2 linked regions of the Nothobranchius furzeri genome follow. The protein of the gene in region 1 interacts with the protein of each later gene in a pairwise test. Links are inferred from orthologs where the notes say so. Each region holds a gene or a part of one and is shown on either strand. Other genes may lie near its edges.

The links.
Region 2: the proteins of tsr2 (region 1) and small ribosomal subunit protein eS26 interact in binary tests that used the Homo sapiens proteins (3 or more experiments, as listed by UniProt). The two-hybrid records come from large-scale screens. The link is inferred for Nothobranchius furzeri from reciprocal best matches to the Homo sapiens genes TSR2 and RPS26.

The regions. Positions count from the first base shown.
Region 1 is NC_091755.1:47,642,606-47,648,589, reverse strand, and holds tsr2 (pre-rRNA-processing protein TSR2 homolog), read right to left. Parts: upstream 4,187-5,984; 5' UTR 4,169-4,186; coding exon 4,091-4,168; intron 3,264-4,090; coding exon 3,173-3,263; intron 3,047-3,172; coding exon 2,955-3,046; intron 2,879-2,954; coding exon 2,723-2,878; intron 2,280-2,722; coding exon 2,181-2,279; 3' UTR 1,900-2,180; downstream 1-1,899. UniProt on the Homo sapiens protein: May be involved in 20S pre-rRNA processing.
Region 2 is NC_091743.1:48,632,918-48,638,892, reverse strand, and holds small ribosomal subunit protein eS26, read right to left. Parts: upstream 3,928-5,975; 5' UTR 3,886-3,927; coding exon 3,802-3,885; intron 2,781-3,801; coding exon 2,603-2,780; intron 2,140-2,602; coding exon 2,009-2,139; intron 1,842-2,008; coding exon 1,806-1,841; 3' UTR 1,749-1,805; downstream 1-1,748.

The DNA of each region.
Region 1 (5,984 bases):
TCTGACTGATAACACGCACCTGTCAGACTGATCTACACGCACCTGTCTGACTGATTTTCACGCACCTGTCAGATTGATCTACACGCACCTGTCTGATTTACACGCACCTGTCTGACTGATCTACATGCACCTGTCTGACTGATTAACACGCACCTGTCAGACTGATCTACACGCACCTGTCTGACTGATCTACACGCACCTGTCTGACTGATTAACACGCACCTGTCTGACTGATTTACACGCACCTGTCAGACTGATCTACACGCACCTGACTGATCTACACGCACCTGTCTGACTGATTTACACGCACCTGTCTGACTGATTAACACGCACCTGTCAGACTGATCTACACGCACCTGTCTGACTGATCTACACGCACCTGTCTGACTGATTAACACGCACCTGTCAGACTGATCTACACGCACCTGTCTGACTGATCTACACGCACCTGTCTGACTGATCTACACGCACCTGTCTGACTGATTTACACGCACCTGTCTGACTGATTAACACGCACCTGTCAGACTGATCTACACGCACCTGTCAGACTGATCTACACGCACCTGTCAGACTGATCTACACGCACCTGTCTGACTGATCTACACGCACCTGTCTGACTGATTAACACGCACCTGTCAGACTGATCTACACGCACCTGTCAGACTGATTAACACGCACCTGTCAGACTGATCTACACGCACCTGTCAGACTGATCTACACGCACCTGTCTGACTGATCTACATGCACCTGTCAGACTGATCTACACGCACCTGTCTGACTGATTTACACGCACCTGTCTGACTGATCTACATGCACCTGTCTGACTGGTTTACACGCACCTGTCAGACTGATCTACACGCACCTGTCTGACTGATCTTTACGCACCTGTCTGACTGATCTACACACACCTGTGACTGATATAGACGCACCTGATTTCGACTCACCTGTCTGACGTTTGTGATGTTTATAAATGCGACTTCCATCTGAATGAAATCGCCACATTTCCTCAGACTTTTACGTCCCTGGCACAGAGACCAGACACAGGTGATTGATTTCACTAATCTGTGTGGGAAGCAGATTAAAGGATCACGTGGGAACGAGCTGAGTCTTGTGACTCGTCGGTTTTGACTGCTCTGATTGGACAACTGAAGAACTGTAATACCCTTCATTAAGTAGCATCAGTATTTACCTCCTGATTACTTCCTAATGTGATTATTGATCAGACTGCTGGAGCCCCCTGGTGGTGAGGACGGGTCTGCAGCTGAAACAAACCGCTTTACTGAATAATCCTGTCTCACCTGTGTTTACCTTTTTCTTACTTAAGTGCCTTAAGACAACCCATCCTCTCTGTTCCAGAGAAGCTACTGACGATGTAGAGTGACGTGTTTATCTGCTTGTGTGGGACACTTCCTGTGAAAATAAAAACGTGTTCTGACCTGACTCCATGGGGTGGGTTAACCCTAACCTAACCAGGTTAGGAATAGTTCTAGTCGGAGTCCAGCCCATCTCCAACCACAAACCCAAACCACCCATCAGCTGAATCCTTCCAGCCGTCCCGGCGTGGCGCTGAACCTCCCGAGAAGAGTCCTCTTCCACGGTTTAACGATGATTAACCCTTCATCCTTAACCAAAGGATCGTTTCACTCTTCTGTCTAAATGTGGACACTGCTGTACTCTACAGACTATTTAGTTCCAGGGATGCTGATGGACTGCCGGTTGAACGCTGCTTTTACTCTGAGGCTCATCTAAAAAATTACAATAAAGGTGTTTTTTTTTTTGCGTCACTCAGAAACTCGTATAGAAACATCAAAGAGAAATATTTCAGCCTTTCATTTCCTGTACTTGTGAGAATTCTGACTTGAAATGAGAAAATGACATCAGAGCAAATAAAACGGATCATTTAAACATCAGGATTCCAAAAGGTTTATTTCTACACGCTGAAACATTTGTGGTTGGTTAGGGTTAACCCTTACCCATCAGCCTTGGTTAGGTTAACCCTGACCCGTGTGAATCGGCCATGATGCTCCGACTCCAGTCGACCCCTGGTCAAGCTCCACCAGATTCCTGAATGGACTTGTCTTCACACAGCAGCTCATGCTTGAACATGCAGTTTCTGCAGATGTGAGCAGCTGGAACCATTAAGTCCAGTTAATACGGTTCCAGTTCTGCTCTTCATGTTCTCACTTCTTCCTCCTGACCAGCGTCCAGCTGTCCTCGGTGTCCTGTGGGGGATGAGGGGTTGAGCTGCCTGATGGGGTGGACTCGTCACACTCCATTGCCTGCACACACGGGTCGTTTTTTATTTGACTGTTGCCATGGTAACCTGTAACTTTACATGGTGATGCAACAAATATTTAAATCTCTTGTTTCCACTGGATGACAGATTTATGAGTATGAATTGTCTCCCACTCATCTGAACAGCAGGTGACCTCTGGTTCAGAACCAATCAGAGGTAACTGGGTCCAACTGGTTCCAGCAGACCTTCAAACCAGACCTGTAAGATCCTAAATCCAGCTGGAACCAGTCGGATCTTTGATTCAACTTTAATCCCATCCAATGATCAATTAAAGAACATCTGGAGCAAACAGATGTTTGGTTGTCCACAGGTTCTGACCCGGTGTTGCTCTGATTCTGCAGCCATGTTTACATTTACAAAGTGAAGCGCTGATCCATGTGGTCACATGACCAGATAAAAGTTAAACCAATCACAGGTGATGCTTACCGGAGCTTCATCAGTGCTCTCATCAGACTCAGTAGGTGGAGCCGTGACCTTTGCCCTCTGCGACCTGTTTTGAGTTAATGTGGTAACCTTCTGTTGAAGCTGTTGCAGCGCCCCCTGCTGCCACAGACCAAACACCTGCAGCAGATGGAGCGACACCTGTGCACAACCGGGAGGTACCTGGTTACTACAGGTGAGATAGCATCCGAATGACATGTCACAAGTGTGCGCATACCTGGGGCAAACTCCCATCCTCCACCATGGTGTTGAACTCTTGATCCATCAGCTCAGACAGGAAGTCCTCAACCTCATACTGCTGCAGGTCAGCTACACACACACACACACACACACGTGCATAAGGGACAAACAGGAATTGAGCTGCTGCTTTTCAAAAGTAAAAGGTTGAAGGTCACCTGACCAGATGTTCTGTCTGCTGTTTCTATGGTTACCTACTGTTGTCGTAGAAATACTGCTGAATGACATCCACCATCCACTCGGCCTTCTGCTGGCCGTAGATGCCTCCGAAGCCGTTGTCCACAGCAATCTGACAAACACACACATTTACGTCTCGGACCCACCAGAACTTCACAGGCACTGAAGAAGATGCTGTCACATCAGGCTGTTTCCTGATAACACTGATTGGTTACTAAAATAGAGCATTTGGACTAGCAGTTCTCTCCACCAATTATCTGCAGGTGGGCGTGGCTGACCCATGTGGGCCAAACCCTGGTCAGCTGCTGAAGTTTTGTCTAGAAAGTGATTCAAGATAATTACTGCATATCTTCTAAATAAATATAATTACTGCGATTATACATATAATTAAGACCACAAAACAATATAAATACATGTCAAATTCGTGGGGTAGGAGTTCGCCCTGTAACCGGTGGGTAACAGTAGCCTGACCAGCCAGATCCACGCTTTCTTAAACAGAACACGAGTCTGGCAGGCCAGGCCAGGGTAACAGGGGTGTTCGTACCCAGGCTCCATCAGTGTGAGTTGTGCCTTTGGGCAAGCCTTGCTATTGGTGGCCGCCCGGAGGCACCGGTGGCTCCTGTAGCATGCCCGGGGCAGCTGTGGCTACAGTGTTGAGTGTGTGTTATCCATAACTTAACCCTAACCGAGTCGTGTCAGAACTTTAAATCAAACCGGTCCGTCTAGAGGGAGTTCGGACGAACCAGAACCAGAATCACATCTGCACTGAAGTCCAAGATTTTTTTCAAAAACCATAAAAGCCTAAATAAAAACACGTGAACCTGTTAGCATCGGTCTGTTAGCTTCCGCAGATCATGTCTCTGTCCGTCTAAACGTCACATGTTTGTATTTCTGTGAAACCACCTGTCCGTCTCAGGTGGACCTGGTTCCGAAGCTCACCTGTAAAACCGGCCATGTGTGAAGAACCGCCCGAATTCCGTCTGTAAGTAGCTCACGTGACGCCTTAGATGTCGCCATGCTAGTTGTAACCGGGTCGATGAAATCGGTAATCAGACAAAAGCAACAGCTCATGATCGGAGTTCAGATCCGGGCACTAGAGCTGGTTCTGTAAAGCCTGCAGGTCCAGGAGAGGAGAGCCGGAGGTTTTCTGATTAATAATTGATGAAAAGTTTAAATACAAAATGTGGTAAATAAAAATAATAATACCCCTAATCTTCCATAAACTCACTAGCCTGGCAAGCCAGACTAAATAAATGTATTATTTATGTGTTTGAAACCCCTCTAGAGGGCTGTGATTGGCCAGCCAGAATGCTGTTAGGGGCTGCAGAGGTTCCAGTGGAGCGTTCCTAGACCAAACTTTGCAAAGTTTCAAGAAACTCCTGAAGACCCTGCTCTTCAGAGAGCATCTTCTTAACTAGCACCTTGCCTGCACCCGTCCCCCCTCTCTACTGTCCACTCCTTGTTCCCTCCTCTCCATGATTGATGTCAATGTTGTTGTTATTGTTGTTGTTAGCCTCAAGGGCAATATGCCGATTATCACTTGTAAGTCGCTTTGGACAAAAGCGTCTGCTAAATACATAAACATAAAGCAAGAAGTTGGTCTAGTTCACTAGGCTATAAATTCACCTGCTCTGAAATCAATTTCAAATAGTAATTTGTATAGAATCAGTTTACAAAGGCTGCTGAGTTTAAATTTGATGTAGTTTCTGTCACTTATGTCAACAGAGATTAATCAACTAAAAATCTTTTCTGTGATAGAATTTTAAATATGTGGAAGTCTCTCAAGGAGAGGCTAACATTCATTTAAACAATCCCTTCGTGGATTGAGTTTGGTAGGCCTACTGTAGAAAAAGATAAGCACACCTAAATTCTAATCAGTATTTTATTCTTATTAATAATTATTTTATACATAAATGACATCATTCGGTTCACAGAAACTCCTCCCATAGTGTATCATCCGGCCAGCCGCTAAAAGGGGCGTTTTGGTTTGTACGCGGGAACGACCCCCTGGTGTGGGGGCTGGGGGGTGCATTGACATGGTCGGGACATAGGGGAATGCATGGCCAAATTAGTTTGGGAACCGCTGTTCTAGAAGATATGAGGAGAACATTTCAGCTGTTTGTCAGCCACACAAGCCTTCTTTACAATAGAGGAAAGCTGGCACAGTCCTCCTCCTGAGGCTCATAGCTTAAAAACCGTAATACCGGGATTATGGTTTAGCTGCAGGCCTACAGGGGTGGACTGGGACCAAAATTTGGCCCTGGGGTTTTAATGAACCATCGGCCCTCGACAGGGGAGGTTGCTGCTTGCGACTCGTCTATCCCGCCAAATGTGGGGGAGGGACGGGGTGTTTTGTGTGCTGCTCGCGGACTTGTCTCTATAACCGCATGTGAGACGGGGTGGGGGCTTGGTTTGGGGCGGCCCATGGGCAAGTGGCCCACTTGGCTGAGAGGCCCACCGGGACAGGGCCAGAATGCCAGATAGGACAGTCCACCCCTGCCTACAGGTAAACCAGAGACAGTACTTCAAGGCTGACAAAAAACCTACTGAGTTTGAGAAAATCATTAGTGTACTATAAAAGATATGTTCAGAGGAAATTTTTGTTTCAAGGTGTTCATGACTCATGCAGTTTCTCAGCTGCATCAAATGTCATTTCAGACCTCTGAAATGTCTCATCACTTTCATAAACTGCTGCACCGAACTGAAAAATTCAAAAAGTGTGAGCAGCAGAAGGCTTTGGTGGTTATCTGTACAATTACAATGCCAGAAATGGAGCAAGGGAGGGTCACCGCTCCTATCTTTGCCCATTATAATTTTTGTGAATTTTTCTGAA
Region 2 (5,975 bases), on another chromosome or scaffold:
GATTAGCTAAAAATGTAATCTCAATGTTGATTTTGCAAGAATTATGGTAATTTTTACAGAAGCCGTAATGTAGTTATACAAGTTCTCAAGTAACACGATCTTAATTGGAAGATTACATTTTCTCACAAGCTGCTTTAATTGAAACGTGACTGTTAAATGGGATGGGTAGTTTTAAGTGTAAGCGCATAAGTCCTACAGTCTAAAGATGGATAGATATTTTATTTGGTCAACAACAACAATTTATCAATTTTAAATAAAAGTAATCAAGCAACCGAAAAAAGGAATAGGTTGAAGCCTAGTGGCTTATAATTAGCCTTTCCTTAACTCCCACAGAGATAATCAAATCCTTAACCAAGAGAAAAAAAAAGTAGGGCATAACATTTAAAGAAAAAGCAATGATAAATCAAGAAATCAAATCAACACAAGGTTAGACATCAAACTAAGTTTCTATAACTTTGGAAGATGCACATTTTTCTTGAAAAATTATAAAGAATAACACATCTTCAGTTCAAGTCCATTCCATAACTTCACTCCCAAAACCGACACACATCTATACTTAGCATTAGTTCTCACTTTAGGTATTTCAAAAATAAAAGACCCCCTCAAATCATATTTTCCGTCTCTTAATTTAAACATACTTAAAATACAAATTGGAACATTCTTTTTCACCATTCTATACATCATTTCTAAAGTTTTAAGATATATGTCCTTAAATTTTAACATAGCTGGTCCTACAAAAATTGGTTTGTGGACTCCCTATATCCATTTTATTTATTATTCTAATAGCTCTTTTTTGCAATTTAAAAATTGAATCCAGATATGTTTTATGTTTTCCCCCAAATTTCCACACAATAACTCGCATAAGGCAAGCAAAGGGAAGTGTACAGTAAATAAAGGCTGCTCTTGTGCAATAAGTTTTATAAAGAATAGAAATACTTAATTTCCGTTTCACATGATCTATGTGAGACTTCCAACAAAGTTTATCATCATTACTCCTAAAAAAGACAAACTTGGTGTTTGAGGTATTACGTATTTAACCTGACAATATAGATCAGTTAACAGGAAAAATACTTCAACTGTCCTGGAGTATTCAACTCCGGTCCTGGAGGGGTGGCATCAAACACGTTTTAGTGGAACTGAAAACCCCGGCTTTAATCAGCGGCCCCAAAAAACTGAATGGTTTAAAAGCAGATTGCTAACATTTTGCCACCACACCATAATTAGAACAGCCTAAACCAGTTTTCACCTGACTGTCAAAAATGGTCATGGTTACCAATAAAATGCAAAGATTTGACAAAATAAACGTTATAGTGTTTTGTTGAAAAGTCCATAAACTTTTCAGTCCAGTTTCTCCAGCACAATTTGCCCACAAACATATTCCCCTGACCACTGGATGGTGATGTGCTTCTGAAGGTGATAGGTGTTGTACCAAAGCCATTTGCTCCTGAACCAACATCTGGTTGTTTTCATCTCAAAACTACTACTAGGTCCACCCGTTCCAAGATTATACTTAAAAACATCCAGGCTTTGTGACGGTCAGTTGCTTTCTAGTTTTGTCAGCTTAAATATCCTTTTTGTTGCCTTGAATGACAAAAGCCATTTTTAAATGTATGATATTACACATTTTAATAAATGACCAATAAAACTACTTTAAGTTCTGTACTGCAAGTCTACGCCAATAAAAAAAAAAACTTGACTAAACTTCTTTCCTTTAATCACAAAAGATTGAAGAGCTTCACACATTAAAGTTGTTGTAAAGATTGTTTATTTTCTTTGTTAGATGTACGGCATGTTCAGATTCTGCTTTACATGGGTTTTGGAGGAGCTCTTGGTGCACCAGCCTGAAAAGAAAAAGAAAGTTCAGATAAATGAGTGAATCAATGACGATGTCTTTTTTTTTTTTTTACTTGGTTTCAGGAGTTTGTGTTTGAACAATTTTCCAAAATATTTATCTGTAAATTTCCACATTAGCCAGTTATTTTTACAACAAATTGTGTATGATACTCACAGTAGGCCTGAATCTTGGTGGTGGGGTGCGATCCTTCCTGGCCTCACAGGAGCGATTCCTCACTACCTTGCTGTGGATAGCACAGCTGACACAGTAGTGCAGCTTCACGTAGAGCTTGGGCAGAACATATGCTGAAAAAGTAAAAAAAATAAATTAAAAAAACTGACTAGAACCAGACTCCAGAATCATCCAAGTTTATGAGAATACATAATACACACACACATATATATATATATATATATATATATATATATATATATATATATATATATACATACATACATATACATACATACATACATACATATATATATATACATACATACATACATACATACATATATATATCACAAATATAATTGTTGTGGACTTTTGAGCCTTAGTGATAAAAAAAAATCTGCGAATCGTCCCTGCTGGTGAGCACCTGTAGCTCTGACTTTTTTACAAGGCAAAATAATACAGCTTTGTTATATTAATTAGTCCCATATAATAATTAAAATTTTGTAAAACTCAAGTTGATTCACACCAAACGTTACTTTGGTGTTGCTTAACAAGGGAGCTGGATTAAAGCGAAAAGGTTCAGAAGATGCTTACAGTCAAAGACGCTGGCCTCTGAGATGTCCCTCACGGCTGCTGCCTCTACAATGTTCCTGATGACAAACTTCTTGATGGCCTTGTCCTTGGGTACACAACGAGCACAGTTGGTGCAGCGAATGGGCTGCACATGCCCGCGGCCTTTCTTGGCACGACCGTTATTCCTCCTCTTCTTGGTCTGCAAAAAGTTGCCATATTAATATTTAAGTAAAACAATTAAGGCTGCTAAATTATGTCCATGATGCAAGATTACATGCAACAAACACCTCTACATTTTTATTATTGTTTATCCTCCTCATTTTATATTTCCCACTCTTAATTTATTTGTCATCATCTTTGAAAATAATTTTTGAATGTGCTACTGCACTAGTGGAGCACCTTGTGTTATCTTGAAATACTCTTCATATTTGTAACAATTATCCAGCACCTTAGAATGGCACCAAATTTGCTCAATCTGTAAATAAAATCCTTGACCATAAAACAAAGTGTAGCATCGGGGAATTAAAACCTACATATCTGAAAGGTTTCAACACTATTTTACAGCACTTCCTGTATAGTTTAACTAGCAATTATCTTAGTATAAGACAAATATGTACTAAATCTTCACTGAAAAAATAAAACGTCTTTCCTTGTTTGCCATGAGACTGCTTCTAACAACTACCATTTAAACGTTCTCAAATGAAATACAGTAGATCTAATGCTATTGTCCACACATTACTGAGAAAGACATCCAATGCACCTTACATAATTTATAACCCAAAAGGTATACTCTCTTAACTCTATATAAAATTATTACGAAGTGAACGAATCTCTGGTTCACTGGTAGTCGTGATAGTTCATTATGAGGTGGTTCCCGCAACATAAGACAAGTTAAATTGTATCTACTCAAGCTACTAGATAAATATCTTAGAATTAACATGCCGTGAGCACAATTCGGTTCATGTAGTTTCAAGACAAATAATGACAGGATCTTTTGCCATCAGACGTAACACATGTACAAAATGATTAGCATGCTAGCTATTAGCATTAGGCCCAAATTCAGATTTCATTCTGTATAAGTTATGTTTGACTTTAATTCTCTAAGATATAAGTTCGCTGTATGATTATAATGTATAAAATGTGTAAACAGCTTCAGCGCAATCGAGTGAAAAACAAGTTTTGTTATTTTTACACTGCCGCCGTCGTTAAAACTCACTCACCATGATGCACGAGAAGCTAGAAAGAGGACCGGAAGAGGGTGCACCGGCACAAAAAAACCCATCCACCCCGCCCTCTGAATACATTTCGTTCCTAAATGCATTTATTTTGAAGAAAATATGTTATTTCTCGTTTGTTTTATTATTTTGGTATTTAGATGAGAATAGATCGACTTTAAGTTAGTCTGAACAGAAAACGAGGATGCACTGAACTTTAAAAGCACTAAAATTAATAAACAAGCATTCGCGGAGGGATATAAAAACAAAAAGAGCACTTCCGGTTGCGTGATTAAACCTAAACGCGTTGCACGATTCCTAAATGAATAAAAATATATTATTTGAAATTCAGCTTTGTGGTCGCTTTTCACCAACACGTTAAAACATTAATTATTTATCTTTTTCTCTGGGCTTTACACTTTCATAAAAATTACGCTAATTAAAAAACGAAGCTCTAGCTCCGAAATACTGTAAACAATTTTGTTCAATGATGCATTTTTCTATCATAGCAAATGATTACATTTGCTTGAAAAGAATTTGATACAACAAAATACCGGTAGTACAATACAATTTTTTCAAGAAATACAGGATTAATGGAACTACTTTTTTTTACCTTTGGCTACAAGTCTATTGTCCATGAATAGACACCTGTTTTATTTTATTTTTATATATTTATTGCATTCATAAGTGGTTTTAAAAATCACGTTTTGACTTTACACTTAAAATAGGTGAATCCTGATTGCTATTAAATAGAAAAACCCAGATAACACTTTTCAAGCATTGCTTTAGACTCACAAATTAATTATACAGTAATTGATTGGTATTAGTTATTAGCTGCTAGCTGACTGAGTTGGAACAGCTATCCCAGGTTTGGGAATTTACCAGCTCAGTTTTTTGCTTTTTACGGCATGTTGTTGCATCTAAACCACATAAGTACTAATTGAGACAGACATTTCCCATTCTTATTGAAATGATTACTTTTACTTAGTTTGACAGGTTTAGATCACATTTACACCTTAAGAAGTGTGAGACGTCTGCCACAGCTGTTCTATAAAATCTGACATTTAAAAATAAAATGCAAGAGCAGTCAATTTGAGTTTCAAATTACAATGTGTCTGTCCAGTAGCGGTTTTAGGCACGGGCAGACAGGGCAGTTGCCCGGGGCGGCATTTTTTCATGACACAAAAGGGGCGCACAAGCGCTGAGTAAAAAAAAAAAAAAAAAAAAAAAAAAAAAGGAAATCTGCGCCGCACCGAGGTTTTCTATTATCTGTCATATGACAGTGTCTGGATTGGAAACAGCAAGTTGGCGCCCCCTGCAGCTGCAGGCGCTCCGTGCACCGTGTGTGTATGAAGAAGAGGAAGGGGAGGGGTGCGGCGGGGGAATTCACCTCTGGGTGGGTCCAAATGAAATGAGCGGGTAGGGGCTGAATCAACTATCAACATGGCTAAAGTCGATCACATCTTGATGTTCTTCCACATTTAATTCATAATATCATAAACACAGGCCTATCATTCTTTCAGGTTTCTCTGAATTGTGTGAAATGGCCGAATAAAAAAAGGAAAAACAAAACGATTTTGTGGTCACCCCCCCATCAAGGTCAAATTGTTTAGTCCTGACTAAAGGAAACTTATTGAGTCAAGAGCCAAACAGAAGAGATGAACATAAAAAGGCTAAAACCAACAGGTGCCCGATTCAGGAATAAAAAAGAAAAAAAGAGGAGAAAAATAAAGGTATGGTCGCTCTCATGATGAATGTTTTCAATTTTTTGAACCAGTTAACTGGGATTTTAACGGTTAAATCCGGTCAACTAGTTGCTAACAGAGCTAATAGGGCTGAAAATATTGAAACGAATATTCAAATGGTTCGAATAAATTCCTTGAATCGTTTTTTATTGATTCAAACTAGGATTTGTTAAATGCTCGCTGCAGCCTGTGGCCTGCCTGAACAACAACAAACACATGTTGATCAAGTTCACATAATAATAAATAAAACAACTCTACAAGCAGAAGAAAACACCCCAGTCACCACTAACTATCCTGTTTATTTATTGCAGATGGCTGCACTGATTATTTTTTACATGATTTGTTCTGTAAAAGTTAGCATTTTTGGTAGTCTACAGTTTTTTTTATGTCAGTTTAAATTACAATTTCAGAGGCAATTGTAAAATATTATGGATC